2 linked regions of the Styela clava genome follow. The protein of the gene in region 2 purifies or fractionates together with the protein of the main gene of each other region. This does not show direct contact. Links are inferred from orthologs where the notes say so. Each region holds a gene or a part of one and is shown on either strand. Other genes may lie near its edges. The genes, in order: nudC domain-containing protein 1-like and pre-mRNA-splicing factor ATP-dependent RNA helicase PRP16-like.

Evidence for each region.
Region 1: the proteins of pre-mRNA-splicing factor ATP-dependent RNA helicase PRP16-like (region 2) and nudC domain-containing protein 1-like purify together in Homo sapiens (co-immunoprecipitation; 3 studies listed by BioGRID and IntAct, with this or other methods). This does not show direct contact. The link is inferred for Styela clava from reciprocal best matches to the Homo sapiens genes DHX38 and NUDCD1.

Annotation. Positions count from the first base shown.
Region 1 is NC_135256.1:18,144,920-18,161,232, forward strand, and holds nudC domain-containing protein 1-like, read right to left. Parts: upstream 6,775-16,313; 5' UTR 5,708-6,774; coding exon 3,890-5,707; 3' UTR 3,699-3,889; coding exon of another isoform or gene 3,437-3,698; 3' UTR 3,290-3,436; downstream 1-3,289. Other genes in the region: man(5)GlcNAc(2)-PP-dolichol translocation protein RFT1-like, read left to right, coding at 394-607, 986-1,079, 1,150-1,237, 2,204-2,342, 2,510-2,621, 3,143-3,289, 3,437-3,698.
Region 2 is NC_135256.1:11,008,773-11,024,874, forward strand, and holds pre-mRNA-splicing factor ATP-dependent RNA helicase PRP16-like, read left to right. Parts: upstream 1-8,418; 5' UTR 8,419-8,454; coding exon 8,455-11,880; 3' UTR 11,881-11,983; downstream 11,984-16,102. Other genes in the region: protein TEX261-like, read right to left, coding at 12,940-13,055, 13,138-13,255, 13,633-13,854, 14,967-15,046, 15,351-15,420. UniProt on the Homo sapiens protein: Probable ATP-binding RNA helicase. Involved in pre-mRNA splicing as component of the spliceosome.

The sequences.
Region 1 (16,313 bases), about 7.1 Mb from region 2:
TATTGTTGCATCACTAATGTCACTGAATTGACTAGTGTTATGGCTTGCTGAGGCAACTAGCGAAGTTAAACGAGCAAAGTTCTTGGCACTATTGGGGCCCGCAAACAATGCAAAAGTAATTTTGTGGCCCGCGGAGCTGCCAATCTTGGACCACCCTGACCTAAACATTAATCATTGTGACCATACTTCAGATTCAAAATTAAACAAGTCACTTCAGACTCAAAATGTAAATGCGCTCATATTTCATTGGCACTACATATTATGTTGTCCACCTCTTACTCTTAGTCAGAATTTCATTACATATTTCCTAATAAAATAATCATAATTGCCCGATTGGCTCCAATTAACAACTTAGTTTCGTTTCTCATCTGTTTTTATGGTTTCTATTTTCAGATCATATTTTCAATTTCATATGTCTTCATTATTTATGGTTATTTTACCTGGTATATTTCCACTGAAAATTACAAGAAGTTTGATGATTTTCCATTTACAAGCATGATGCAATTCTTTCCTACTTCCACATTACCATCATCAGTAGATAGTGACACTGCAAGTTTGATATGGAGTTTTTTCAAACAGTCTGCACTGAAGCAAATATTAACTGAAGGTAACTGAATAATTAGTTATGTTCTAGGTGTTTTCACTTCACTCTGTTTTCTCAGAATAAGACTCTCAACAAGCAACCATTGTGACTTGTGAGGTGGTTAGCTTAGGAGTTGTGTCTGAGATCTGGAGACGAAACTTGATTTTTTAGTTTTGCAAATTCAATTTCATGGGCACTATGATCTTAATCATTAAAATTTGCATCAGAGAACTGTCACACAGTTTTGTGTCAATTTGTTTTTCAACTGGATCTACTTTATTCTGAAAGATTCTAATCAATTCAAACACATCAGCTGCTTTTTGACATCTCGTATCAGAGATTTATAGTAACAATAGTCTAAAGAAATGTTTTTGTTCAAGGAAATTGTTTTCCCAATTTTAGGGGAAAAGTATGTGATGACAATATTCAATGTACTAACATTTGGAGATCAAGGAGTTTATGATATTGTTAATAATCTAGGATCAATGGCAGCAAGGTATTTTCCGTTAAATGTGTTATTGGCTGTTGTTTTTTATCTAGTTTTAAACACTGAATTTGTCTTTCAGATTCATATTTTTACCAATTGAAGAAAGTTTTTATGTTTTCTTCGCTAAAATGTTAGAGAGAGGTGTTCCACTTCAGGCACAAAATCAGGTATGTTACTATGAAGAGGCGTCATAGGTACACAATCCCCAATCCTGTATTGGGGTCACACAATGTACAGGAACACACTTGGGTTTTCATAAAATAGAGGATTGCTGGACCTGGGTAACTTCTGCCCAGTTATGGCTTGTTCCATCACCAAAGTCTATGCAATTGCAATTATACCTAACCTGAACCATTTGTGAGTCTGCCATATGATTAAGCAGTTTTTATGAACGTTCTTTTCCATGGTATAGATATGAAAATCCTAATTCTAAGGATTACTTCCAATATAAAAGATCCCTTTTTTATTGCTGCAATAGTAAACTTGGGGTAACAGTAACACATCTCGTTTTCTCATGCATCACTCAATGTGGTCATATTCTGTACCTACAAATATTCTGTACCTACAGTATTTGTTGTATATGAGCTACTATAAAATATTGATGAAACAAATCATAAACATTTTATCAAATTTACTCTGTTTTACGTTAAATTAGAGTTTAGAGCAGTGGTCGGCAACCTTTTGTCACTCGCGGGCCAAACCGATGGCCGATGAATCACATTTTTTCACACAGGTCAGAAGTTAAATTTTAAGCAGAGCGCGAAGACTGACCATTTGAATATTTTCTGCTCTAATAAACCATTTACACTTAGCATCAACTTTTTTGCGTTTTGTTGCCATTTGTCTAATTATAATTAAATTATAGGCTCATTAAACGAGTAATTATGAATTATATACTTGTTAGGTTATAATATAATTTTGTCTACACATGTCTCATAATAAATTCTGTTACGTAAAGAATATAATTGTTAAAACAGCTGTTTTCTTACTATAATTCAGCAAAGCGCCGCGGGCCGGATTATATTGCTCAGCGGGCCGTAGGTTGCCGACCCCTGGTTTAGAGGATCATATTATTCATTGGTATAATCACATGTTGGGTGCCTACATAAACAAATATATATTTTGTTTCAAAGGAAAAAGTCAAACTAGTCCGGCACGTTCTGTTCTGTGTATTACGGCTTGTTGTTTTGATTGGACTCGTAATACTTGTGTTTGGATTCTCTTACTCCTACATATTTTTGCATCTATATGGAGGATCATTGCTAAGTGAAGGTAAAAACTTGAAATCTATGCATAATTAGCAATTCACTGATATGCATGCAAGGTTTTGAAGATATTTGTTACAGATTAGAATTGTCAGCTTGTATATATTATAAAAATACTAGATGCAAGATAGATGTTTTTCTACACAATTTATTTTCTTATTATTTTTCATACAGGTTCTGGTCCAGGGTTATTGAGGGTTTATTCCTTTTATGTATTATTGATTGCAATTAATGGAACAACTGAATGCTTTGTATTTGCTGCAATGAGCCAGAAAGATGTTGACAAGTGAGTTTGCAGAGAATTTTGATTATGGTATTTTTTCTGAAGGGAGAGAACATGACGAGCCATGGTCGCCTGTCCACCCACTCGTCCAAGTCAAAATATTTAACTACTGGTATTTACCCATATGTATGGATACTCGGTATTATGGGAGTTACAGCTACAGCACAGTCCAGCTATGGCTCGGCAAAGATTTTTTAATGGGTGCTTAACGCTTGAATTAAAACAGTGGGCCAAAGAAACAAGTTGTTACACCCTTTTTAAAAAGCTTAAAATTGCATGTCTTTATTAGCAAATACGCCTTTATGCATTGTGTGTAGCTCCAGAATATTTTGCATGTCCAATTTCAAATATCTACTAAACGTCGAAGATTTGAATGCCGGCGGTTTGGCGTGTTTTTTAAATGAAATCATGATGGTCATCCATGCACATTCTAGACCAGACATTTATGAACAAGGCTAGATCGCTGCGATTGAATATTTTGATATCCTATCACCTATGAAACATTTATGATATTAATTTTCAAGGTACAATCAAAAGATGTTGATATTTTCTCTCTTGTTCCTGACTTCTTCATATTACTTCACTATATATCTTGGATCAGTTGGATTTATTTTTGCAAATTGCTTGAACATGATTGTAAGAATAATACACAGCTTCTACTTCATAAAAAGGTGAGCAATCAATCTTTTTTATGAAAAAGATGATGGCATATTATGTTACGTCGTTCACTATATGGTGAATTGAACAGTTCTTGTGTATCTTTATATATCTAATTATCGTTTTGTACATAGTAAAATACTTTTCCCCATTAATTTTAGATATTTCAAAGGGCACAAGGGATTGGATCCTCTAACAGCATTGACACCTCACTGGTTTGTGGTGCAAACATTTGTTGCAGCATTCACCATATGCTGGTTGTCAGAAAATATATGCCACGGATTATCAATGATCTACTATGTAATTCACATAATAATAGGAGCAGCGTGCTTAGCAGGACTTCTATATGTATTGTACCTGGCGGAGGAAAAAGTGGTAGAGTTTTTAAAAGAGCAGTATTTTTCTAAGAAAAAGAAAGCTTAAAACACATGTCCATCACCTTATGGTTCACAATTACAATTTCCACGTAAACAATCATTTGTAGGAGTTTGTAGCAATCCATTTTTGCTTATGAATGAAATGCAGTACTTTTTTTGCACTAGAGTTTTCTATTTCGGCAAAATTGCAATACAGTAGATATGATTGATATTTGTTGTAGTGAATCTGACTGACAGTCATGTGTCTGGAGCAGTCACTTTAATTATAAAAATCTTAGCTCCTGTGAGCACGAACATAAGTTCAGAAGATGCATGAAATCCAAGTATCGGTTCATTGGAAGGCAATGAGACTACTTGCTGTTTCGAAACATGCATGCTTTTGCCTGTTTTTCGGTTTTTAAGGGGTGCCGCAGTTGTCGTTGGGCTGTGATAAACAAACACCCTGCTGCTGGATTCACATAATGCAGAATAAGAGGCATTCGGAGAGCATCCTGAATATTTTACATCTTCTTTAGATGCTCTCACGTACCCGAGTGCATTGAATGTTGCAACATGTTTCCAGGGACTGGAACAAGACTCACTGGGAGTGTCAGATTCCCATACTAAAGCGTCAATATCATGTCGCAGCACTGTACATAATTTATGATTATAGTAACAGTTAAATAGCCACTGATTACTTGCTATGCCTGCTTCATAAGTGAATTTGTTTTCTGTAGCATCAAACATGTACAGCATTGAATCCGCATCAGGCAAGTCATCACAATCCTCGTAGTGATCAAGGCCTGTAGGCTGAAAACCTCTTGCTTCTAAATCTGCCATTTCATCTTTTGTCTCCATGTCAACATCTTGATCTGCGTTGTTGGGAATCATCTGACCACTAGTGTCACCTAATATAACAATTGGCCAGTTTTGGCCTTCCAATTCTTTTGAGATTGTTACGGTCAAGGTTTGGCCCTCAACAGACCAGTTACTCGATTCATGGTCGACTTCGACAAATAGTTTCCCATCCAGAACATAACTAATCTTTCCTGTCGCATCCTTGAAACCAACAGTTAACTTACTTTTGGACAAGCCATATACAACAGAAGTTTTGTCTGCTCCTTCTGGCATAGGAATCATAACAGTTACATCTTCATCTGTTTGAGTCCATTTATACAGAGATTCTGAATTTTCTGGTGCGGAGTCCATTTTATCAGCAGCTTCTCCATTCTCAATCTCCATTTCTTCACTCAAAACCTGCTGTTCCCAATCAGTAGCATATTTCATTGGTGAATGTGACCCGATGAATAATTCTTTACCACTTTCACCCAAGGTGGCATAGAAAGGTGCTTGTTTCCCTTTGAACATTCTATGTTCGCCAATTTCAAATTTGGACTTTTCATCATATCGAAATAACCAAGTCCATTCCACAACAGCTTGTGATATCACGGCATCATCTTTCTTTTCATCCTGAAATCGTAAAGTCAAAATATCAATGACATCTTTTTTTCCATGATCTCCAGATTCAGGTTCTGCATCTTCAAAATGCTGCCGTGAACACAGAAGTACAGAAGGTTCCGAATTTTCACCTACTATGTTCCCACTTAATAAGATAGTCCATTTTGTTTTTTGAGTTGTATCAGTTTGCCGGTTCCCAGTATCAAGAAGATATACCAATCCTGCCCCATCAGATATCAAGCATAAATTAGCTGAGGGGAAAGATATTGTTACAGGCATATGCCTTTCAGTTTGTAAAAAATGAGATCCTAGTTGAAAAACTGATCGAGGTTGTCCTATTGAAGCCTCAACAATAACAGACAAACGTTTAATATGACCAGCTTTATCCACAAAATAGCATTCTTTTTCATTCCATGGATCGCCAAATAAGTAGTTGTGAAGGGAGAGAACCTTTGTTCGATTGTATGAGAAATCGTCATTAGCCAAAGTTACCGTATCTAATTCACAGTCTGGATTTACATGATACACCGGCAATTGCTGTAGAGACAGCTTATATGATTCAAAAGTAGAATCCAATAAATTCCAGTCAGGACGCAAATTAATATTTTTGGCATCCATTTTATGATAATTTTACACTGAAGAGCACTAAAAATATATCATAATTGCACTGATAACCAAACCTTACAATCGTGAGGAATTTGACAAAATCAAGCAAGTGGTCATCGAAAATTGTGTGACTAAATGTGAACACTGATAAAAAACGATGAATGAGAATATACACTTGCAGATAGTTAAATTAGGTAACATTTATCATCGTAGCGAAATATGATACAACATATCCTTTTAAAATTCAATATCCAGGATTTGGAGCACACCTTCATGTAAACAACATGCAGACATGGCATAAAATAGTCAATCATAAAAAGAAGTACAGTGCATAGCCAAAAATTGATATTATTTCTTCCTATTAAAAATTTACATCACTAGAATTTTTTAAAAAACTAATAGAAACTTTCAATTTTGAGGACAAAATTTTCAGATTCGTTCGAATGTCGTTCATATATTTTGAATATTTTTCATCCTCTGGTGAGAGGGTTATAAACTCGTTTATAAGCGAGATTGTGTTTTTCAACTTTAATGTAAGTTTACTTTGGTCGGGAGAAGATTTAAAATTATTTGAGTTTGCACTACTCGATAAATTTTTCAGCTGCATAATGTATGTTTCACAAAATCCCAGATAAAAAACAATTTCTCCAGCTGTCAAACGTCCTTGGTTCAATCCTGTTGAAAAACCTTCCAGCTTTCCAACTCTGGATCCGTGCGCTATTCCTTCTACATACCCACGATCTCTTTCGCGTGAATCACCGAAAAGAATTACATCAAACTCGTCTTCCATTTCTGACTCCACCGCGATAGTCCAGGTAAAATAAAATTTTGTTTCTACAAAGCAACTGCAGCACGCGTGGCGTCACGTAGGCAATAAGTGGCAGCATACATCGAAGAGGTGACATGAAAACAAAAATCGTTTACTTATTGGACACGTAGTGGACATAACGATCGTTTCAATGTTATGTTGTTCTTGTTGTTTGACACAGAATAACACACCTAGTAGAAATATTAAAAAACCGCTTTTCTCTTCGAATACTGGACCAATTGCTTTGAAATTTTCAGTGGTTGGAGATAAAAATTTTCCCAATTTTAAATATTTCTGTTAGCTCTGTGAGATTTGTTTTCGTTCTGTGGACATCGGACGCCATTTTGTGTCCTACTGTACTGCTTCGCTTGGTGCACTGACATTAAACAACATGATGCGCAACTACGGCATTTTTGGCCGAAGATCGTATCCGATAGCACGCTCCAATGCACATACTTGACGAGACGAAAACGAGCGGATGTGTGCTGCTTTCAAGGCATAGCACGAATGGTGTTCGTGCCGGCTTTGACAGTTGTTGTCGATTTTATTGATATTTTGGAAAGTTGAGGTTGTTGTATACCACATCCGGGCATCGCACTGTTAAGTACTTGTGGGAAAGCCAGCTTTTGTCAAATACTACGAAGTTAATAATTCAGTACGGTACGTAGTTGCCCATTTGCCAAAATTGCATATTTACTTACCTCTTATGGTTTCAAATAGTTCATGCACCTCCATTTAGATTTTTTTTAATCAGTGAGGATTGAATCAAAGGGTTAACAAGTTCACCTAACATTTCACTCATACCGGTCTATATTGTATAGTCTGATCTCTCAAGTATATGGAGCCACGAATGCTTGTAATTTTCTGACTAAATTCCTTTATTAGTTGGTTTATATACCAAATTCAATATAACATTTTTTACATTAAACATGAGATGTTGGCCTTATTAGCTTTTCCATTCTAAATCATATAGACTGCTTCATTTATTCTTGACGAAAATTAATAAATCTCCTCTCCTTCTTCAGATGTGAATCTGGACAAACCTGTTTAAGCATTGTGAAACTCCTGCAGCACAAGAGGCAATAGCAAAAATAGTAAGTATATCAATCAAGAAATTAAGCCGACATAAAGCAAAAGTTTCAACTATTCGTCTGATCTCAATTTCCTATTATTTATTCACAGGACAACTATAGCAGAAGGGGAGATATCAGAAGTCTGGCGACATATCAGTGACCGTGTGATTCCAAGAAATATAATTAGAGTACTCCATAAATTTTTGCAATAGAAAAACAACCTATGGAGGCATGCAAAGACATTTGACCCTCCGGTAGAGTTGTGTAAGGCCCCCACACCCTGCAGGGCTAGAAAATAACAAAAAATTCAAAAGCGTGAGCTTGCATAAGCGGTCCTATTTGTAAAAAGGCACAAAACACGCCAGACATACTTATAACAGCTACACCTGTGTTATATTGGTTCATCAACTTTTGGTAGTACTATAGAAGAAATTCAGGAAAGGGTATATTCATGATAAAATACTGTTATATATATTTTGGACAACTTCAATCTAGACCAGGGATGTCAAACTCGCGGCCCCAGAGAACTTCCAGTGCGGCCCTCGAACGCTTAGCAATAATTGTAATAGTATTTTGGAAGTTTTTTTTTCTATCTAAATGTAATAGATTTTTCAAACCTTTTAAAGTGAAATTGATTATTCACACAGAAAACAAGTTACTGAAAGTAGTTTTGGAAAATTAATTTTTTTTTGTTCACATTTTGACCCAATTAAGAATACACATCAAGCTAGCAAAAGAATACTTGAATAAAACACTTGAGTGATTAAATTAAACGCAAAGTACATGAAGAAGGTGGCATTTTCAAAGAAAATGAGAGTTGCAATATTTCTGCATTTCACAAAATTCTGAAGCACATTGTTTAATTTGTCATATTTCCATCAATACAATGAAAAAACACAATAAGCTCAGCAGTCAATATGACAAATTCGAAGAGCAACTTTGAACAGAAAATTTTCATGTGTTTGTATATTAATATAATTATACAACGACTTAGTTACTAAAAATCGATATCAATAATAATTCAAGCAATCCTATGCCACGCAATGTGGTGCGAAATGTCTTGTCGAAAAAATCTGTCATGTGTTTTTTTACTGATCTATACATGAAATTATAAAAATAACTTTTTTGCATTATTGGAATTAATTTTCGCAAAGATCCAGATTAGCTCATGATCATGTGACCTCGTTAGTTAGAGTTGGTACTATAAAATCATTTCAGCCTGGCCTTAGTATGCTGGTGACACAAAAAAGATACAAAACGTCAGGACAAATGTAATTAAAAAACATTGAGTTTATACTGTAGTATTTTTGTTAATTTTAGGTTCATATATTTAAATTAAGTCATTTTTAGTGTATGTATTATTCTTTCCTTATCCAAAGTTTGTTCAAAAATGATTTTGATGGATGTACAGAGAATTTCATGATTTTTTGTAATAAATACAGTAACTTGCAATAATAGTGGAATGCAAATATTAATATGTAATTGCATTTGAAATTAAAGAAAATAATGAAACTTAATGCAACTGTTTAGTTGCATCACAACATATGTCACAAACTAAAACTATCTTAAAAATATCTTTCAAGTATACATTATCAAAAACTGTTTGCGGCCCTTATTACAATTTCCAAAATGCAATGCGGCTCTCGAAAACCCATGGGTTTGACACCACTGATCTATTCTAGACGATTCAAGCATTGCTTTGGGAAATAATATCACTTCAATTAAATTGAAAAAAATCTTGCTATATTAAATACAAAAACGTTGCTATCATAGAGGGAAACTAATTCGGCCACTCGAAATATATTGGCCTTCACAAAGCAATGGAGGCAAAATTAAGAGTTCATGAACTATGAACTTTTGTTCTTTTCTTTGTCTTGAACTTTTCATACTCCACAGCCGCTATTAATTTTTTTTTAATTTTAAATACCATGTGATGGTCATACATATCTTTAACTTGGATTTTCTGATGATGTGTCAAACTATTAATTAGTGTGCATATTTTGCTTCCAGATGACATAAATGTATTGTCCTGTTTATTACCTCAGCTTGGAGTATTGACAAAAAAGAGGTGCCAGTAAATTACGTAACTTTTTTTTAACTCTTTGTTATAATCAGAATTCACAATTAATAGGAATTATAAACAGCCAACAACCAATGAGAATTATATGCGAAATCCCTCAGAATAAATTTGTCTTCTAAAATCGGAGGAAAGCAAAAACATATAGGTAGTTTCCATTCACACAAGTCTTTCAAGAAGACTTGCTCGAGCCAAACTAAATGAGCATGGTCAGGTGATCGGTAAGGCTGCAAGTTGAATCCAGCCCTGCAACCTCCTGCATAGAAGATAATATTAATTAGTGGGCTATGAGCTGAATTCCTAAATTTAAACAAACCTATCTACGAGGCATTATGTACCAGCAATGTTACCTACGATTAACTGAATATGTAATATGTCTAATTAATTCACCTACAAAAACAAGTTCGATAGGTGCAAACTTTACGTTATGGAATTGTATCACAGCACCGTTAGGAGAAGTAAAAACAGTTTTGCTGTCCTGTATGACACCCTCTTTAAATGAAATTTCAATGTTTAAGCGCAAACATTAAAATTACTAACTTTGAAATTTGTTATTATCTGCAAAATGTTCCACACAAATCTTTCCGCTATCGCGTTTGTAATCTTCTCTGATAAAAAACGTCTATGATGTCCAGAATTGCTCTTTACAGCTTGTCTGCCATTCCAGCTTTCCAAGTGAGTAAAACTTCTTAGATATAGAGATTATTTTCTTTCGTTACAGTCGCAAAAAGGCAGGTACTACACGTAAAGAAGACGCCGAGTAGCAAAAGCGAGCTGAAAACGGTCGCGACAGGCGACGAGAAATATGTGCATTGGAGCGTATCATGAAATACAATCTTTCGCTTGTAGTCTTACGGAGTGACGTCAGAGTTGCCTATCATGTTGTTTAATGTCATTGCTTGGTGTGAATATATTTGTAGACTGTGATCTGACGGTACGGTAAACCGTACTGCGAACAGACGTCTCCATATATTTGGGCGTAGCTCTCTTGTTCTACTCTCAGCGGATTTTAAAACCTTTAAAATTATCCGTCCATAGATAAACATACGCAACGGAGCCTATTTACCGGTACCCGTAACGAACTGATTTGAAACAAAATTACGGTAACGAACTAATTTTAATAGAAGCTTGGCCTTTTCGGATCTGGTGTTGAGTGCAGTTGAGGTTTAGGCTTAATTCAAATTACACTCGCTTCTCGGTTCAAATTACACTATTGGCTCGGCGGTTTGGCGCATCGTGCTAAGCGTTAGGAATACGCTCGCCTCCGCATCTCTGATTACCCTTCGAATCCCATGCGGGGATGATCATGTGCGAAAGGATTGCTGGACTCCTCGCCGCCGTAGGGTGGTTCACGTAACCGCTGGTCGGTTACGGCTTCCTCCACCATCAAGCCCATGCTTCCGAAAACAAATAACTCGCTAACTAATCCCATACCCGACCTAGACTGGTAACCGGGCGAGTGGCCGTGGTTCGCCATATGATTAAGCCGTCTTATCGGCTTTCCTCTCCCCTGGATAAATATGTAAATCCTATCCTACACAATGATCATTTTATCTTTCAATGAGTTATGCAGCAGTAATTGGAAATCAGTCTAAGGTTTTTTTCTTATTAATAAAAGATTATATGGACTGACAGTTCCCGCTTCTAGAAGCATCAATTTTTTTCGCATTTATAAACATTTTTACGCTATATCCTCTATTCCAGTGATTTCCAAACTTTTTTTTTTGCGCCCCCAATTTTCATAAAATCAAAGCCTACAAATACTCGCGACCCCACAACTAGAAACGTATCGACTGCAAGTAGACGTTGACGGTGAACATTGGCACAAAAAATATATGAACGAGTCCGGCAATGCGCCGGAAAAACCTCAGAAGATTTGATAACACATGAAATCGTATGAAAACCACGGTGTAATAATCTGTTATATCAGAATTATAACGGTTCTTTGACGAAACATAGATGTACTTGATAAAATGTGGTAGATTGTAAGGACGCGTACGATATTCGGAAATCGTAAGATTGTTCTCTTATTTAGTATATTCCAACAGCGTCTTTATTATTTTCAGTTCTATATTAACATATTACAGATTGCTCAAATATTAATTCGAAAGTAAAACAGAGCATGAATGTGAAATAGGAAAAAGCGTGTATTGAATCACATATTTCAAGTGCCTTTATTAAAGCTAGGACTTGTGGTTTTGTGTTTGACTGCTCGGAACGCTTCGTAATTTTATGTGAAACGTCTAAATACGTAATATTGCAATACGAAAATGTTCACCATGTGGAGGCGGTGTGGACAAAACACGTAGCCTACTCGTAGATTTTAGACACGTGCGCGAATTAACAAAGCGCTTTCGCATCGGATCGAAACCTAGAGGTTAATAATTACTTGGTCAAGACCCCGCCTGTCAACCAATACCACACTTACCAAACACCTGATTAAGGTCCAATCGCCGGATAAAGTAATTTATTTTGTATTTTCGGTAACCAAGCGGCTACACTGGTACATAATCACAAATCAACATGATTTCTCGCAGCCTGGCAAAAACCCGATTCGCGTACCATCGGGTCAACTACTCATAGGGATGTAACATGATCAAAAAGCTATAAAAAGGAAAATATAATTGGCGCTCGTACCATGGTCATTCAATTACTTTTACTAATACCGTTATCTGCCGGCCAGCTGGAAAAGTATCGCATGAAAGTTCTACCGAGCAATTTTGGCGCCGTTTGGACAATAAATTGTCGAGTTATTGCTGAAAAATCCAAAGTTAGGTACTTTTACGGTATCTGCCGACCAGTACAAATTTGATTTTCCAACTTTAAAATCCTAGTCACTTGTGTTCGCATGTTTGCAAGAAATTAGGCGACCCCGGAAAATCTTCACGCGACCCCATCGGGGGTCGCGACCCACAGTTTGGGAACCACTGCTCTATTCAACAGTTTGCCATGCATAAACAATTTCCTCCATTGTTACACAAATGACGAAACTGTGTTTCCTTTTTTTTTTTAATCGAAGAAACCGTAAATATATACTATTATATTTACGTAGTATATATTTACGGTTAAATCATAAATTTACGGTTAAACGTAACCACTGCTCTATTCAACAGTTTGCCATGCATAAACAATTTCCTCCAATGTTACACAAATGACGAAACTGTGGTACATTTTTTTAAATCGGGGAAACCGTAAATATATACTACTACGGTTGAACCGTAGTAGTATATATTTACGGTTAAACCATATACAAGGAAGTCCTCGGGTTACGACTTACGCTGTTTCGAGGTTACGAACATATACAGATATAAAAGATAATACTGTAGCCTACTGTAATATCTAAGCCTATAAACTGGATCATTGTGATCAAGAAAATCAGTGCTCTGGGCTCATTGGTTTTTGTTATTTACATCGTAAATGACGTGACCAATTGCGAACTATTACGATTGTGAACGAATAATCACTAAGCTACAGTCACATGGTACAGTACACAGTTCCAGTGATATAGTACTGTACACAGTTCAGTGATACTGTACGTTATTTTGGTTGTTCAAGCCGTTTTTTTCGTAACTTGTTTGATCGTTTTTTTTTTACTTTTGCCCTTTGTTATGGACTCAAAGCAAAAAAAAGATGTTAAGATACTGTACAGTGTTTGCTTTTATTCACGTGATGTGGAATTGTTTTCTGTTTTTCTAATAAAGTTCTTATTTGCATTATTTGTACATTTTATTAGTTGGTGTACAGCAGTGGTATTCAACCTTTTTCAGTTCGCGGACCGGTAAAATTTCAAAACAAATTTTGCGGACCGGCGGACCTTCAAAATTAACCAAAAATGTCATGAACACAAAACATAATTAAAAGAATGCAATTACGACAAAAGTAGGCGGTGCAAAAGAAGACAATCCAATTTAATGAAGAATTTGATGTTATACGTGTTAAATCCGGTTCTAATGAAGTTTCTGCAAGGCGAGTAGAGCGTTGACTTCCAAGCGATTTCGTTAGCTTTGCGGGTTTTCATTGCGTCGTTTAAATGAATTTTTGCACAGACTAGGCACCTGGGAAGTGGTACTTTTTCGCTGCTGGGAACAATAGTAAACCTAACTCCAAATTTTTGCTATCATATTGCCTAATAAAGTCTTTCTTTCGTTTTTCTTGCTTGGTTCTGCGTGATCCACATCAACATTGCTGCAAGCGAACTTGGAACGCCAAGCAATAAACACAACCGCGTATATTGTTACGTAACAATAACATAGCGTTGTGAATACCTGATATTTGACAATTCGTTTAAAATATTCGATTCGATAAAACTATTCGATTCGATAAAACTATTCGACTTTGCCCACCTTGGCGATCTGTAACCACGCCAGTAATCTGGCAAAACGCTTGGTAGCCCAAACACTGGTGCAATGAAATAAAACTTTCATTAAATTTAGTGAATTGCACTACTTCGCGAAAGCGTGATGGAATTAACGATTATTTTATATCTCGAACACAAAAATGTTTATCTTTTTTGCATAGTTTCTGTGGTCTGATAAGTCGGATAAGCGTTTCGACATACTACATGCTATGATCTTTGCCATCAAATTATGCTCGGGCCTTGCACAAAATTCATGACGTGAAAAAATATGTCCACTGTTTAAAATTGTGTATAACAACTTTAAACCTATTTAGTGTTTTTAGGGATAATAATTATTTGTTGTAATGAAATACAATTCGTTTGCCTCTTCCACTTCTCTCGACACTGGGAGAAACATATTAAATTACAAGAGAGCTATGCTCAAATATATGGACACGTAGAGTCACATAATTTTGATGACGTCATAGCGAAAAAAAAGTAATAGCCTTCTGAAGAAAATTTTTATCTTTAACCACTAAAAATTTCAAAGCAATTGGTCCAGTATTCAAAGAGAAAAGCGACTTTTTAAAAACGTGTCAAGCGGTACTGAGTTAGCAGTCAGGCAGCATCTTACCTGTACACTGTAGGCCATATACGGTAATTGATCACAGAACAGTTGTTCCCTTGCAAATTTTATATTGTTTACACTTTAGGACAGATAATTGATCACAGAACAATTCTTCCCTTTCAAATTTTATGTTGTTTCCAGTAGACTCTCATCAAAACAAGAGAGCAATGCTCAAATATATGGACACGCAGAACAATTCCCCAAAAATCATATGCGGTGACCAACGACTAACATACCGGCGGTGACTTACCAGTACCTGTATCGGGGTACCGTGACGGTACAGGGACTGTCATAGATATTTTAGGTCCTGTGACAATTGAAACATCAGTTGAAATATCTCGTGATATGAGTCAATTATGTACCGTATTATCGGATCAGGTACTGAACCACAGTCAAACATTTCACATAAAAACGTTACTAAATAACATGCGCCAACTTAACACCAGCCGAATCGGGGTACAATTTTTGGTACAGTGACTGTCTTAGCCGTTTAGGGCTGATGGACAATTCGACTACACGGACAACTCACCAGGCCTAGGGTGGTGTAGCCAGTCTGCGGACAATTTCATTCAAACCGCTATAAAACAAAAACCAATATATCTAACCCGTTAATTTTTTCACCGTGGGTGCATTGGCGGCATTTATTCTACACGCTAAACCTCGTACAGACAGCGTGAAAACATTGGGCTTCTAATTGCATTTCTGACCGTCATATATTTCAAGAACACGGTTATTTCGAACAAAACTCATTAAATTACAAGAGAGCTATGCTCAAATATATGGACACGTAGAGTCACATAATTTTGATGACGTCATAGCGAAAAAAAAAGTAATAGCCTTCTGGAGAAAATTTTTATCTATAACCACTAAAAATTTCAAAGCAATTGGTCCAGTATTCGAAGAGAAAAGCGACTTTTTAAAAACGTGTCAAGCGGTACTGAGTTAGCAGTCAGGCAGCATCTTACCTGTACACTGTAGGCCATATACGGTAATTGATCACAGAACAGTTGTTCCCTTGCAAATTTTATGTTGTTTACACTTTAGGACAGATAATTGATCACAGAACAATTCTTCCCTTTCAAATTTTATGTTGTTTTCAGTAGACTCTCATCAAAATAAACAAATATAGTAGGCTACAAGTGCTACAACGCTTGCATTACTGCACTGGTAGGACCGTGAAAGAATAAGTTACGGTAATTTCATTGTGGTAAGACACCGGTACCGGCACCAGTATCGTACTTACGTACTGAGCTACCAGTACCGGTTAGCAGTCAGCCAGCATCTTACCTGTACACTGTAGGCCATATACGGTAATTGATCACAGAACAGTTGTTCCCTTGCAAATTTTATGTTGTTCACACTTTAGGACAGATAATTGATCACAGAACAATTCTTCCCTTTCAAATTTTATGTTGTTTCCAGTAGACTCTCATCAAAATAAACAAATATAGTAGGCTACAAGTGCTACAACGCTTGCATTACTGCACTGGTAGGACCGTGAAAGAATAAGTTTATCCCCCGGGATAAATATGTAAATCCTATCCTATCCTAAGTTACGGTAATTTCATTGTGGTAAGACACCGGTACCGGCACCAGTACAGCAGTACCAGTATCGTACTTACGTACTGAGCTACCAGTACCGGTACCGAACCTGTAGGTCTGATATTCCGTTCCGCATACGATAGGCTATAAAACT
Region 2 (16,102 bases):
TTCGGAAGATCACATTTCGGTGCTCCGGAAGTGTGTGTACTAATATGGAGGTAGCGAATTTTATTCTAACCCTAACCTGGTACAAATACTGCGTAGAGATAATATCGGGCCCAAAAATTCTAGCCCGGCCCGACCCAGGCCCGTGGGTATTGAACCCGACCCCGACTTTTTAAGTGGATTTGCAGGCCCGAAGCCCGAAGCAAAACCGAAATTTCATATTTTATTTATGAGTTCTTTGAATTGCCATTGCAAGAGTTTGGTACAGTATGTGTCGTATTGATGGGGCAACTTCTTTTTTTTTTGCAGACCACGGTCTCTCGTGGTCAAAACACGGCCGAAACGCCTCATTTAAAAAAAAATCAGCAATGGAGAAGCCCGACCCGACCGGACTCGAACGTAATGATTGACATTTTAGGACCGACCCGGCACGAACTTCGGGTTTGGTGAAATTCTAGCCAATGCGAGGTAGGCTGATAAGTGCACAGTAATAACCTTGTTGAGTGACATTTAACAGTTATTGTATTTCTAAATACTGATATAAAAACTGAGTCGTTAACTGTTTGAATGGCATTTGACCGTTATTGTAGTTTGTAAATACTGTTAAAAAGAGGCATTAAGTTGACACAAGCATTTACCTGTTATTGTATTGGGATAGAATAGAAAGAATGTGTGGAAAAATATTAGAAAAACGCCTGGAGAGCAGTTTACTACCAGAATCGTAATGCATTTGGTGGATTAGATGGCAACTCAAAACTCGAGGGGCAGGATATCACATCTACACTGATAGATTTTATACCAGCCCAACATTGGCGGTGAAGCTTCTAGAAAAGGGAATGCATACAACTGGAGCCGTTCAAAAAATCGTAAAAGTCTTCCAGAGGATCTCAAACGCTCGCGCTTGAAAACCCATGAAACAAAAGTTTACCGACACTCCAGCAAGATGCTAATAGCTTTAGGTTGGCACGACAAGCGTACTGTGCTTATGCTCAGCACCTGGCATATTGCAGATGTGAAGACTGTTTCACGAGTAATAAGAGGAGGGCAGCAGGAAGACTTTGAAACGCCCCTGGTGATCTGTGACTACACAGAGCGCATGGGGGCTGTTGACCGCTCAGACCATTACTGCACATCTTATTCGTTTACCGCCTCGACAGTAGTATGCGCTATAAGCTAAGAATTGTTAAGTACAAACACAAAATGCGAGTGTTTCACCACTGGAGGTGTGAATTTTTCGTCTTTTTCTCCTCAAATATAAAAAAAAAGAACAGAAACACCTTAGAAGAACATGGAAAGGAAATGATTTAGTATATAAAAAAAATTAGACCTGTGGGAAACTTTTTGGTAAAAAAATGCTCGGCGGTGTGGCGCATCGTGCTAAGCGTTAGGAGTACGCTCGCCACCGCATCTCTGATTACTCTTCGTGGGTTCGCAGGTTCGAATCCCGTGCGGCGAGGATCATGTGCGAGGGGATTGCTGGACTCCTCGCCGCCGTAGGGTGGTTCACGTAACCGCTGGTCGGTTACGGCTTCCTCTACCATCAAGTCTATGCTTCCGAAAAAAAAAAAACATATAACTAATTATTCCCATACCCGACATGGAATGGTAACCGGACGAGAGGCCGTGGTTCGCCATATGGTTAGGCCGTCTTATCGGCTTTCCTCTCCTCCGGGATGAATATGTAAATCCTATCCTTCAAAAATTCTTTTAAATGCTGACCAAGAACACTTGAATGAATTGAAATAAGACTAGTCGAACGGTAAATATCATTAAGCTTGCATGGGGCCGGATCCTTCATCAAATTGACCAATTCAAATGACAGTCGTGCATAAATCACACCTAAACACCGATTCAGCAATTGGCAACTTCCATTTAAATAATTTCGTTAAATTTATTAAACATTCATTGTCATTTATAATAAATTTAGTTGAATTACATTTTCAACATTTGACACAATGAAAACTGTTAGTGTATTTATTTTAACCGATCTTGATCCAATCAAACAAAATATCGTTGCAATTTGAAATCTACTCACTCGTCGGCGCCGGAATGTCTGGCGTCAAATCTGTAACGGCGACGCAACATGACGTCGTCAAGTTCAACGAGTGCGTCAGATGCTATTATTCTTCAAGAAAAAGATATTTCAAATTTAATTTTTTTCTCGAATCTCGTGCGATATCTCTCGATCAGTCTAATTTTTTTTATATACATTGTTAACGCCCTCTATCGAATGACGGTAATTTGACGAAGTTGGCATCGGCAGAAGTCAATCAATCAATCAATCAATTTTATTTGGTCACTCTGATACAAACAAAAAACAAAACATCAACAAAGGGTAATCAGTAATCAGTAGTTTATTTCTCACCATACTTAAAATAGGCACAAACATACAAATTGCAATAAATTAAATTATAAATTGGCCATATTTCAGGGTGAAGGAGACGCGAGAAACCAATACTGGTTATCGAGCAGCGGCACCTATAAAAGGTACAAAGGGCAAACAAAATTCAGAGGACCTGGAGGACGGGCATAACTTAATAATAAAGTTAAATACGTACAAGTACGTGCCCGTCCCCCCAAAACAGTCAAAACACAATAAAACAAAAACACAATGTGATATCGGGCAATATCTTGTAAATTCAAATTAAAATGTGAGACGTGTATATATGTGCTTTTCCTACAGATATATGTATCAAAGAACACTCGCTGCCGAAAAATGGTGATGCTGTAGGCCTAGTTTAATTACGTTCAATTACGCAAAGTAACACAGTGACAAATTCACAAGTCACGATTTAAGCCGTTCGAAACGGTGTGTCAATTTTTTGAGCTTGTCATTGTTCGCTATCCCGATTCTATAATCAGTTACTTTTATTTTTATCTATTATTTTATCGTCTATTGCTGATTATGGAATCGAAAAAACTTTTAGGGCCCTAAATTGCGGGGAACGGAAATGACGGGAAAAGTTACTAACAAGCGGGAAAATGTTACAAAAAGCGGGAATGACGGAAAATCGCTCGAAGATAAAGGAAATATGTATTATAGTACGATTACTACGTACATGCACCCTTAATAAACGACACTTCGGATGTATTTGCAACAAAATGGCGCACTACCTGAGATTTAACCTGGTACACATACTTGGTTCAGGTTGTGCGCCATCTTGATGAACATACTCGGGAGCACTGTATAAACTTGCCGTTACTTTCGCCCTTCAGTAAAAATTTACCTCACACATACTCTAAAATAATATTTCTCATACCTTAAAGCAAATTCCCGTCATTCCCGTCTTTTGTGAAATTTCCCGTAGTTCCCGCAATTTCAAATTGACAAATTCCCGTCGTTCCCGCAATTCCCGTTTTTTAGTGCATTTCCCGTCGTTCCCGTTTCCCGCATTTTAGTAAGGGGGAATTTTCACCAAATAGCGGGGAATTTCACACAAAGTGGGAATGACGGGAAATTGCTCTAAGATGGGGGAAATGGGCATTTTATTGTGTATGTACGGGAAATTGTACTAGAAGGCGAGAGCAACGGGAAATATACACTTGAATGTGTAGGTACAAGAAATTGTATTAAAAAAGCGGAAATTACGGAAAATATTACTCATAAGTAGGAACTATGTGATATTGTGGGAAATTTCACTAAAAATTGGGTGGGTATAAGGGAAATTCTCTAAATAAGCGGCGATGACGGGAACAACGGTAATTGATGGCGATGACGGCAAAAGCGAACGTATTGACAAATGATGGGGAGATCGGAAGAGTAAGAGCATCGCGTAAAAAATAAATAATATGTATTTAGCTGTTTTTTAGCTGGCGATCTAAACCGTCTTCCTTTGTTTTACGTAATTTATTACGAGTGTTACTTGTATATTTTTGTTATTCAGTGAATTGATATTTCCTGTTAACTTAGCATCATTACAGTGCTGTTTTATTTGTGTGAAGGGTGTTGCCCAATATTGTCTTATGCAAGTACAGGTTTAATGCTCCCTATAATCTGAATCTTCCTTCTAATTCTCTTTAAAGGTACTTTAGTGGAATTAACCGAATACCCTCAGAGATCAAATAGGAACGCAATGGATTGTAATGCAAAATTTTCATATATTGTAAAGTTGTACGATCGAATTGAATTGTTCCGAACAACAGATAGTGAAATACACTTAACAATGATGCAACTATATGTGATGAAACCAAATTCCATGGGCCCTTCCCAAAACTTTCAACATTTTTTGAAATGCAATTTGGCGACATTTGCAGTGAGAGATAAATTCTTATGACTTTTTCAACGTCAATGTGCTATATTCTTGAACGATTTACTGAAAACCGGACGTTTCCCGGCTTGCTATCAATAATCCCTTTTTCATATGAATCAACCGATAAACCAACTTACAACTTTACATTAATTTCCTTCAGTTGAGTTTTCCACTGAATGACCTAGGTTTCTATCACACGCAAATTTAAATGGATCGTGTACCCGAAATTTCGTTTCAATTTTGTTAATAATTTGCAACAGCACACCTTCTCTGCGACTAAGTTATGGTACGCCTTGACATGAATTGATAAACGATCAGATACCGACTTCTAGAAAACATTTAATTTTGATTGAAATTTAATTTAAACTCCGTTGAGAGTGAAATATTTCGCGTATATATTTGAAGAGAACTATTACTGAACAAGTTCATTCGCCGGGCATGTTAATTGACGATCATGTTTTTTATTCTGACATTTATATTTATGCTATTTTATTCCCATTTGTTGTACCTCCATTTGAGTGGCGGTAAACGAAATGAGGGAACACGTGGTAGAACACTTCTTGCAGCAGTAATCATAAAAGAAATGTAGCATTTTCTCCTAATCGTTCTCGGTTGGAGGTTTATTTTGAATGGGTTAATTACTTTTTTGTGTTCGAGCAAATTCCTGAAAGCATTTCTTATTTATTGTAAGCCAGTTGCAAATAAAATGTCTTTGTCTTGTTACACTATGCTGCTAGCATGAATATATGCTCGGTATCTCCTTGTTTAGCAAGCTCTATCGCAATAATGAGCCCATATATCACAGAGATGACAAAGATCTGTGTGTACAAAGTTTTCCTTTATGTATAACCCAGAGTCACAAATTATGTACTAATATTTTGGAGATAATAAATCTGTAATGAGTCCAGCCTTAATTTAATATAACAATAAGTGAAATACCACAGTCACATATTCTGGGGTGGGACTGCGGGAACCAATTCTGTTACTGTTGCAGCACTGTTTTGGATGGTACAATAGAATTGTTTCCTGCGCTTATTTTCACAATTGAATTGCATCAAATTGCCTCAGTCCTAAGGGGATGGTTGGTCAACACCGAATAGTTCACTATTTATTATATTATTTTCAAATATGAAATTTCGAATACATTCGAAAATAAAATAAAGTAATTGAGGCTTATCTATAGTAGCCTATATAAAGGAATTTGCATACAATAAACAATGAAATAACTGTTATCAACAACATGTTGTCTACCATGCATTTCATGATTGCAGATTATTGCTATATATTTTCATATACCATGAGTTACGTTATCAGAATTAAATTAATACGACAAGCATTTAAAATAGAGCTATCGGTCATGGATTTGAACATTTTGCGCAACACAAAATCATCCTAGTAAAGTTTGAATACCAACCATTATCCAAATTATTTGCCAAAAAGCGGGATAAAGTATAAATTATATTTCTGACTTGCGACAATTTTTTCGTGAGTACGTAAACACGAATGAAAAATTAATTATATTCGGGCACTTCAGTGTCCGCATATATATCTTTCATTATTTTATCATTACGAAATTATGAATATGGAATTAATTATAATCGGACAGTTTACCACACATTTAAGTCTATGGATCACCGTTGTATTTTGTAAATACGAAAATAGGAATCAAAAAATAAATAACAATCGCGCAGTTGACCACACATCTATGTACATAGATTGCCGTGGTATTGTGCCCGAATATAATTAATTTTTGATTCCGTATTTCATTCCTCTTAACTCTGTTAACTTAATATCTGTTTTTAAAATTTTGCAAGCAGTTCACGCACGAAGACTTTAAATAATGATGTATTAGTCAAATTGAAGTCCTGTTAGACCACTGGTTCTTAACCAATGTGTCATGGCCCACTGGTAAGCCTCAGAGCCATTTTGAGGTGGGTCACAAACATATTATAAATTACAAGGTTAGTTGATTGGAAAAATTGATTTGATAACAAAATCAGCTTCACGCGTCTTGAAAAACAAGATATCTATTTGCAAAACATGCCTCGCCGTAACCCACCCAATGTGGCGCAACAAATCCATTATACGGCAGTAACTAGAAATGAGTATATATATATAGCAATTTGCTTGCACATTACATCAAAATTAAAAACATTATAACGAGAATGTCATGGCCTTCAATATTCGCCAGGCTCGAACTGAGCATACCATATATAAAAAAGTAACATAAAACGAATCCATTGTCTCATAAATATTAAACTAATATATTAAATTTTCTTCACTATCCGTCGGAAGAAATTTCATCCACTTCGTCCTTTTAGTTTTCAGCTTTTTAGTGACTTCAACCACATCAACACCAGTCGGAAGAAATTTCATCCACTTTTTCCTTTTAGTGTTCAGCTTTTTAGTGACTTCAACCACAATAACCCTCGTCCAAAGAAATTTCATCCACTTCTTTCTTTTAGTGTTCAGCTTTTTAGTGACTTCAACCACCTCATTATTCGTCGGAAGAAATTTCATCCACTTCTTCCTTTTAGTGTTCAGCTTTTTAGTGACTTCAACCACCTCATTATTCGTCGGAAGAATTTTCATCCACTTCTTTTTTTAGTGTTCAGCTTTTTAGTGACTTCAACCACCTCATTATTCGTCGGAAGAAATTTCATCCACTTCTTCCTTTTAGTGTTCAGCTTTTTAGTGACTTCAGCCACCTCGGAAGAAATTTCTTCCACTTCTTCGTTTTAGTGTTCAGCCTTTTAGTGTTTTTTAATATTTCACCTTTGGGAACACTTCAACTTCCGTTTTTCCGCCACTTCATCCGTTTCTTCCTTCAGCCTTTTAGTGTTGTCCTGTACGGGGTAATTGTACTAACATACATATTATCCGAATCTTAGAGCGATTTCCCGTCACTCCCACTCTTTGTGAAATTTTTCGCTTATTAGTGAAATTTCTCTGTCCACACAACCCAAGCGTATATTTCCCGTTGCTTCCATTTTCTAGTGCAATTTCTTCTAAACATACTCTGAAATGAGTATTTCCCGTACTTTAACGCGATTTGCCGTCGTTCCCGCATTTTAGATAAATTTTCACGTACATACACCCCCAAGTGTATATTAACCATTGCTTTCGCTTTCTAGAACAATTTCCCCTAAACATACCCCAAAATGAATATTTCCCGTACCTTAAAGCGATTTTCCGTCATTCCCGCTTTTTGTGAAATTTCCCTCTTTTTAGTGAAATTTCCCATAGTTCCCGTAGTTCCCGCATTTTAGTGCATTTCCCGTAGTTCCCGTTTCCCGCATTTTAGGGTTGCCCCTTATTACGCCACTGTGACGTCGAAAAAACGTAATTTTTCGGTAAGGTGGGGGTTAGGATGAACATATGCAAAAATTGTTGAGCCATACCAACTAGAAGTGCATGTGGTACTAAACTATACCAGGCCCGACTTGATGGTGGAGGGAGCCGTAACCGACCAGCGTTTATGTGAACCACCCTACGGCGGCTTGAAGTTCAGCAATCCTCTTGCACATAACCATCCTCGCACTGCCGCATGGGATTCGAACCTGCGAATCCACGCAGAGTAATCTGGGGTGCGGTGGCGAGCGTATCCCTAACGCCTAGCACAATGAGCCACACCGCTGCGCATATTTTCACGTCACATTTTTGTTTGGCGATATTTGAGGAGTTACCGTACAGATTACCATACTTCGCTAGACCCGTTATTTGTTTTGGATGTATGTCCCCCAAAATAGACTACAGTCTAAAATTTAGTTTTGTCATTTTCCTGATAAGCTAATTGAGTGCCGTATTTTACCATGCAACAATATGATTAAGCCGTTTTATTGAACTTTACTGTCCCAGAGATAAATATAAAAATGTATGTATATATGTTTATTCGTCTCGTAAAAGCAATATAAAAGAATTAGTAATTATAAATACTGAAGACGGGATGTATGCACAAGACCATACTGGCCTAAAACACGAATGTGCGGCATACACCCCTTCTGATATGTATAATATGGTCCTTTATACAGATAGTTGTGCAAGGAGGGTGGGTGGGTGTGGTAACAGAGGTTAGGGTGAAGTATACAAAACTGTTTGTACAAAATTGTTTACATTAAAACAATATAGACTATATATAGTTATATCCATGTTGCAGATATTAACCCTCTTATCTTCGATTGTACAATACAGTTATTAGACACTTATAATGGATGACAATGATGACGAAAGCATTCATCGACTTGAGGGGACAAACAACAGTGGAAAAGTTTTTGGATTAATTGTAAAAAAGGATAAGCACTCTAGCAAAGAGCAGCATGTTTTCAAAAAGCCTTCATTGCTGGGACTCGATAAACTTGCCGATCAAAAGTATAACAAAGAAAAGGGGGCAACAAATTATCATGGAAGAAATTATCGGCCAGCCAGAGTTGAAACACCTTCGTATACCGGTGGTGTAAGTGATTCATATAAAGAAAAAGCAAAAAATCGTGAGGAAAAACGAAAAAGAGAAGGGTATACCACTTCAAGTGATAAGAAACGTCATGATAAGGGTCGTTCGAGCGAAAGGAAAGACGACAGTAGAAAGCGAGAAAAGAGAGATGATCGCACTCCTAGGCATTATAAGTCTGATCGTCGCATGCAAACCCCTTCCAGAAGTACTTGGGAGGAGGAGGAGTCAGGATACGGTTCACGGCGATCATGGGAATCACCATCGCCAGCCCCATCATATTATAGATCTGAAAGGTCCCATCGTCCGACTAGTTCAAGGCGTCCTAGAACATTGGAGACACCATTACAAACACCAGCTCATCGTTACAATGAATGGGCAGATGATAGAAAACGCTTCAAAGAAACTCCAAAACGAGATGGTGAGCGTGATGACAGTGATGGCGGAGATTGGGATGACGTAGATAAGCAAGCTGATAGAGATTGGTACATGATGGACGAGGGGTATGATGAAACACATAATCCATTTGCTAATGCTTCAGATGAATATGTGCAAAAACGAGAGCAGCATATGAAGACTCAAAAAAGAGAGAAAATATCTGCACAACGAAAACAAATTAATGAAGACAATGAAAAATGGGAAACGAATCGTATGATGCGTAGTGGTGTTGTTTTACAAACTCACTATGATGAAGATTTTGAAGAAGACAATGCAGCTAGAGTTCATCTTCTTGTTCATAATATCGTTCCTCCGTTTCTAGATGGAAGAATTGTATTTACTAAACAGTTTGAACCTGTTATTCCTGTAAAAGATGTTACGTCAGACATGGCTATTGTATCACGAAAAGGTAGCCTCACAGTTCGAAAGCACCGAGAAATGAAAGAGCGAAAGAAAGCACAGAAGAAAGAATGGGAACTAGCTGGGACGAATATAGGAAATATCATGGGAGTTAAAAAGAAAGATGATGGTGAAGACCCATCAGAATCTGAGGAAAGCGATTTCAAATCTCAGCAAAGATTTGCTAATCATATGAATGAAAAAAATGAAGCAATGAGTGAATTTGCTAAATCCAAGACTATGTTGGAACAAAGACAATATTTACCAATATATGCAATTAAAGAGGAAATCTTAGGAATTATTCGAGAAAATAATATTGTAATTATAGTGGGTGAAACTGGTTCCGGTAAAACGACACAGCTCACACAGTATTTACATGAAGCGGGATATTCTTCACATGGGGCCATTGCTTGTACCCAACCACGTCGTGTTGCTGCAATGTCAGTTGCAAAGCGGGTCAGTGAAGAAATGGGTGTCAAGCTGGGAGAGGAAGTTGGGTATGCGATTCGATTTGAGGATGTCACGAGTGATAAAACACTCATCAAATATATGACTGATGGTATTTTGCTTCGTGAGTCGTTAAGAGACAGTGATCTTGATACGTATAGTTGTGTTATTATGGACGAAGCTCATGAAAGGTCTCTGAATACAGATGTGTTGTTCGGATTGCTACGTGACGTAGCAGCACGTCGACACGATCTCAAGCTTATTGTAACATCGGCTACTATGGATGCGAATAAATTTGCTCAGTTTTTTGGTAATGTTCCTTGTTTTACTATTCCTGGTAGAACTTTCCCCGTTGATATCCTTTATAGTAAAAATGTTGTGGAGGATTATGTTGAATCAGCTGTAAAGCAAGCTCTCCAAATCCATGTACAAGGTTTTCAAGGCGATATACTTATATTTATGCCCGGTCAAGAGGATATTGAAGTAACTTGCGAACAATTGACAGAAAGTTTAAATGAAATTGAAGATGTTGCTGTTCTGGCAGTTTTACCGATATACTCTCAATTGCCTTCAGATTTGCAGGCAAAAATATTTCAAAAAGCCCCTGAAGGAATTCGGAAATGCATCGTTGCCACCAATATTGCAGAAACATCATTAACTGTTGATGGAATTATGTATGTCATTGACTGTGGATATTGTAAAATGAAGGTTTTCAATCCTCGCATAGGTATGGATGCTCTGTCAATATACCCAGTCTCACAAGCCAATGCAAATCAAAGATCTGGTAGAGCTGGAAGGACAGGTGCTGGGACTTGCTACAGGCTATTTACTCTGAACCAATACAAACATGAAATGCTTGCATCAGCTGTTCCTGAGATTCAAAGAACTAACCTTGCAAATGTTGTTTTGTTACTAAAATCACTCGGTGTACAAGACCTCTTGTCATTCCATTTTATGGACCCACCGCCACAGGATAATATTTTAAACTCTATGTATCAATTATGGATATTAGGGGCCCTAGATAATACAGGTGCGCTAACGACATGTGGTCGTACAATGGTAGAATTTCCTCTTGATCCCCCATTGTCAAAAATGTTGATCGTGTCCTGTGAAATGGGCTGCAGTGCTGAAGTTTTAATCATTGTTTCCATGCTTTCTGTCCCATCTATTTTCTACAGGCCGAAGGGACGAGAGGAAGACAGTGATACCAAAAGGGAAAAATTCAATGTCCCAGAAAGTGACCATATGACATTTTTAAACGTCTATCAACAATGGAAAACGAATAGGTATTCCACAACTTGGGCTAATGAACATTTTGTTCATGCAAAAGCAATGCGAAAAGTCAGGGAAGTAAGATCTCAGCTCAAAGAAATTATGGACCAACAAAAAATGAGATTGGTCTCTGCTGGTAATGATTGGGATGTTATTCGCAAATGCATTTGTGCAGCATACTTCCACCATGCCGCTAGATTGAAAGGCATTGGTGAATATGTTAATATAAGGACAGGTATGCCGTGCCATTTACATCCAACGTCAGCATTATTTGGAATGGGATTCACCCCTGATTACATTATCTACCATGAACTTGTCATGACATCGAAGGAATATATGCAATGTGTAACATCCGTCGAAGGCGAATGGCTCGCAGAACTGGGTCCCATGTTTTATAGTGTAAAAGAAACTGCAGCTTCCAGGAAAGAAAGGAAGAGAGCAGCAAGAGATAAAATGTCAGAAATGGAAGAAGAACTCTATCTTGCTAACGAACAAGTTAAAAATCGCAAGCAGGAGGAAGATGAACAAATACAAAAGACATCAAAACGTTTGGTTATTGCGACACCGGGTAGAAAAGATGGAGTTGCGACACCAGCTACACCAAGACGTACTCCCAGATTTGGTATTTGAATTTCAAATCTGTCAACACTACTAGTCTTGTTCCACTCCCCTGTAGTATTTCTAAACTTCCTCAATCATTTTTTTGTACACCAATAAAATTCTATTGAGAACATTCAGTCTTATTTGTGGCCTGCCTGTGTAGTGCATGTTTCTAAATGCTACATGCAATAATTACACAAAGCAGACTGTTCAATAATCGCTACTCAGGAACAAGCTTGGCTGTTGAGTGTTGACTGTGTTATCGGGTTAGAACTAAGTCGTGTGTAATAATACATCAATTATGTACCAGTTTCATGTATCTGAAACAATTGACAGGCTGATAGTTATTACCATACATCACAAAGATTGGTCAATGAAACCTTTTTACCTTTCACCGTCAAATGATTTTGATTTCCTATGTCCAGCATCTGCCTTTGACAAGTGATAAAAATGGGAAATGGCCTTACACAAAATAACAAATTAGGCGGTTCAAAAATGTCCTGAAATTTTTTTATTGGACACACAAAGTGGGTCGTTTTTTGCTGGTAATCATCATGTTAGTATTTCTTCTCAATCTTGATTAATTAATGGACCAATTGCTCTGAATTTTTCACTAGGAGGGTTTTACCTATGTCAAAAAATTTTTTTGGCTCCTACGGGTGTGATGACATCATCGAAAATTCCCTGTTACGATTCAGCTGTGATACAGTACTGTTGGCTACTGTGACAGATTGCATAACTGTACCGCTTCCTGTCCATATATTTGAGCATCGCTCTCTTATTTGATGATTTGGGCATCGACACAGAGTAACCTAAAAGCAGCTCAGTACACCATATTCAAAATTGGAAGCGCACATCGAGCCTAAGTATACTTTATCTGAGATCAAAAAATTAGTTGTGTATCATAGGTTTATTAGTAGAAACACAAAAAAATCATACGTAATTTTAATTAAGCAATAAAAACCAAAGTAAAAAGTCAACAAGTGGAACAAACACTTTTGCTTCACCAATTGTGATTCAAAGCTCTATGCCCTAATCTACTCCAAACTTAATAATCATGACTGCTTCGCAGAAATGTTAGCTAGATAATCAGTATCGCTTGGCTCGTGATGGAATTACCATATTTTTACAGCCCTCTGCAAAGGTGAGAAGGACAGATCTTTTCTTTTTTCCCTTTGTCATATAATGAGACAGAACATCGTGATCTGGAAAAAATATACAAAAAAAGTGAGCGACCTATGCTCAGTAAAGTATATATAAATATTTTAATTCATAAATTTCAATTACCTGAAGATTCGCTTAGCAAAGGTTGCACAGTTGATGGCAGTACATTGTCACCAGCTGATAGTGATATGAAGAAAGTAAATGGTATCACCCACAAACATAGTGTGAAGAATGCCATAATCTGTGAATAAAAAAGCATATTAACCATATTTAAATCTCAAATATCGCCACATCATTCTAATTGTTTGCACCTCTGATTACCCTGAGTGGATCTGCGGTCCAAATCCTGTGCATAGCCGCATAGACATACAAATTGGAGAATTTCCCACGGCACCCCTGACAATATTTTACGGCACACCGGTGTGCCGCTGCACCCCGGTTGAAAAACACGGCCCTACATTGACTGGCAACCAGACGAGAGGCCGTGGTACACCATATGATTAAGCAGTCTTGTTGGCTTTGTTATCCTCTATATATAAAAATTGGGGAATTCAAAATAGGAAAACATTCACATGTAATAAGGGCTGGAAAAAGATAAATAAATAAGGTGTAAATTACCTCTGCAAACGAGTAAAAGACATCGCTAAAAAATTGAAAGGCAAAGTAATGATTGACAACAACTAATACAACAGTGAGAATAAAGTTCGGTGAAGACATTTCGATAAAAGGAAATGTTCGGAGTAATCCAAATTCGACAACATTTGTAAATAATCCAAGTACAATGATTGTGAATGGAAAACCTTCAAAAATCCATAACCCAATGTAAATCCCACATGAAACCTGAAAAATAATTAAATGAATTAATCAACTTACGTACTGAGACGCTCACTAAATGTTGAAAGCTTTTCAGATTATTTGAAAAAACAGAACCCATGTCATTAGAAAAATATTGTAGAGAGTACATAACTTTTGTGCAAAGCATTCTTCTTGTGTAAAATAATACAGAAATTTGATACAGTTTGTGTTTACATCAGTGTTTCCCAACCCGAGTTCGCGATCTCAAATGAGTCCGCAGAGCGTTCGAATGAGTCCGCAACGACCAAATTGGAAAATTATGTAGTAGTATATTTAATGTAGGTCACTAACCTTTTCAGTATCGCGAAATTCATTGCGGGGCGAAAACCTTTTTACCATACTTAAAGTACAAGCCAAGTTACGATTTATGTTAGTATTTACATAAGACATAAAAGGCAAGTTTATTCACATAATATTAATCGAGTCAATAATTACTGAGGGCTGGGCAAAATATTCGAACAGCAAACTATCAGAATACCTGGTAATATGTGAATTGGACACAGCACGTCAATCGCGCTGAATCAAACGATTGGATTGCACAACGGACTCGCAGATTTCTGACAAAAACACGAGTTTACACGTACTTTTCGCTTCCGTTAAAATTGAGTGTTATATTTGTGCTTTTTATTTATTTGTTTCCCGTAACATCATTGCTACATTTTTTAATGAGCTTATTGTGCGCCAATATCGCATGAATTTCACATCTTTTCAGTGGGCCAGGCCATTTGGTAAAATTCGAATCAGCAATACAAATGACAAAAATGTAACATTTCAGAATTTTCCGAACGGATATATTAATTTGAATATGAAATACCATTAGGTGAGTTCTATCAGACTTCAATGGATACGCAGTAACAACATTTCGGAGGATTTGTTTCAAAGCAAAAAAACAACAACATAGACTCGATAGAAATTGCTGGCTATCAAATGTATCACTTTCACAAGGAAATATATCTTGTGAATGTGATCTACAAATTTCAGTATGATATAGTTAATATAAAATATATCAGGGAGTTCCTATAGAGATATAATAAGGCCATAAAAAATATGATGGCATATAAAGCTAAAATAAGAGGAAAGACATATAACTACTTTACCATGAGCATTACTCTTAAAATTTTCTCTGTTATAACTGTGTATTCTTCAATAAGTTCAGCCAAATAATACAATGCAGCAGCTGAAATAATAACAAAATGTGGCTGTTTTATTAATTACAATTATGACTCAGATTTAATAGTTAAAAGGTTGGCAATACACCAGTTTGATTTCTCATAGTGCAGTGAATTAAATTCATGAAGGCAGTAAGAAGCCCAAAATTCTAGAAGTGGTAATGTCAATAAAAAATAAACAACTGTTCAAAATATGACTCGACATTGTTGACGAGTGATAGAATGTCAGAATGTTGACTCATGATTATAACACAAATAATATCTGTCACAGATTATTTTAGATTTATTATGAGAACAAAAATTGCAACTTACCTATGGACAAGGTAACAAACAATATTTGTAAAAGTATAGAAAACCAGCTTAAGAGCCACAAAAACCACATCTTTGCATGTAATGGTCAAGAAATGCTTCAATTTGCTGGAGAGAAAGTACGGTATGACTGTGCATGAAAACTGCAAAACAAACCTTACTGCCTTAACTTACAATACACTTCAACTATGCTGTTTCAAATACAAACGAAATATTTAAACTATGTACAAGTGAAAATCATTTGAAGTTGTTTAATGATGATTTATAACAATAAATTCCGACATTGCATAAAAGGATATATTGAGACCTAACCTAGTTCCAACGTTGAGACACTGCAGTATCTGTCAATGTTAGGCCATTAAGTAAACTGTTACCAGTACTATGCAGGATTGGGTTGAATCATTTCCATTTTATCTTTCTGTCATTAGTATTCATATATTGCAGCAAGCAACTGAGCAGCGGTAGCTAATTATCCAATGGATTATTAAGTAATAATTAGTGAATCAGCGTTCGGCTTTTTGAAAAATTGTATTCGGATACTAAATTTATACCAAATCCAAAAATATGAAGCAAAATATTCTACAGTGGTGCTGCCCCATCTCAAAACGGTTTGCGACCAGCGGAACGAAAAATCATATCGAGCGACGTCATCTGTATGTTACGGGTGGGTAACAAGCAGACGAAAAGCGACAGGAACAAATCCGTTCAGGGCAGAAGGTTGTTGAAAATTTATTATTATTTTAATTACTGTTCTG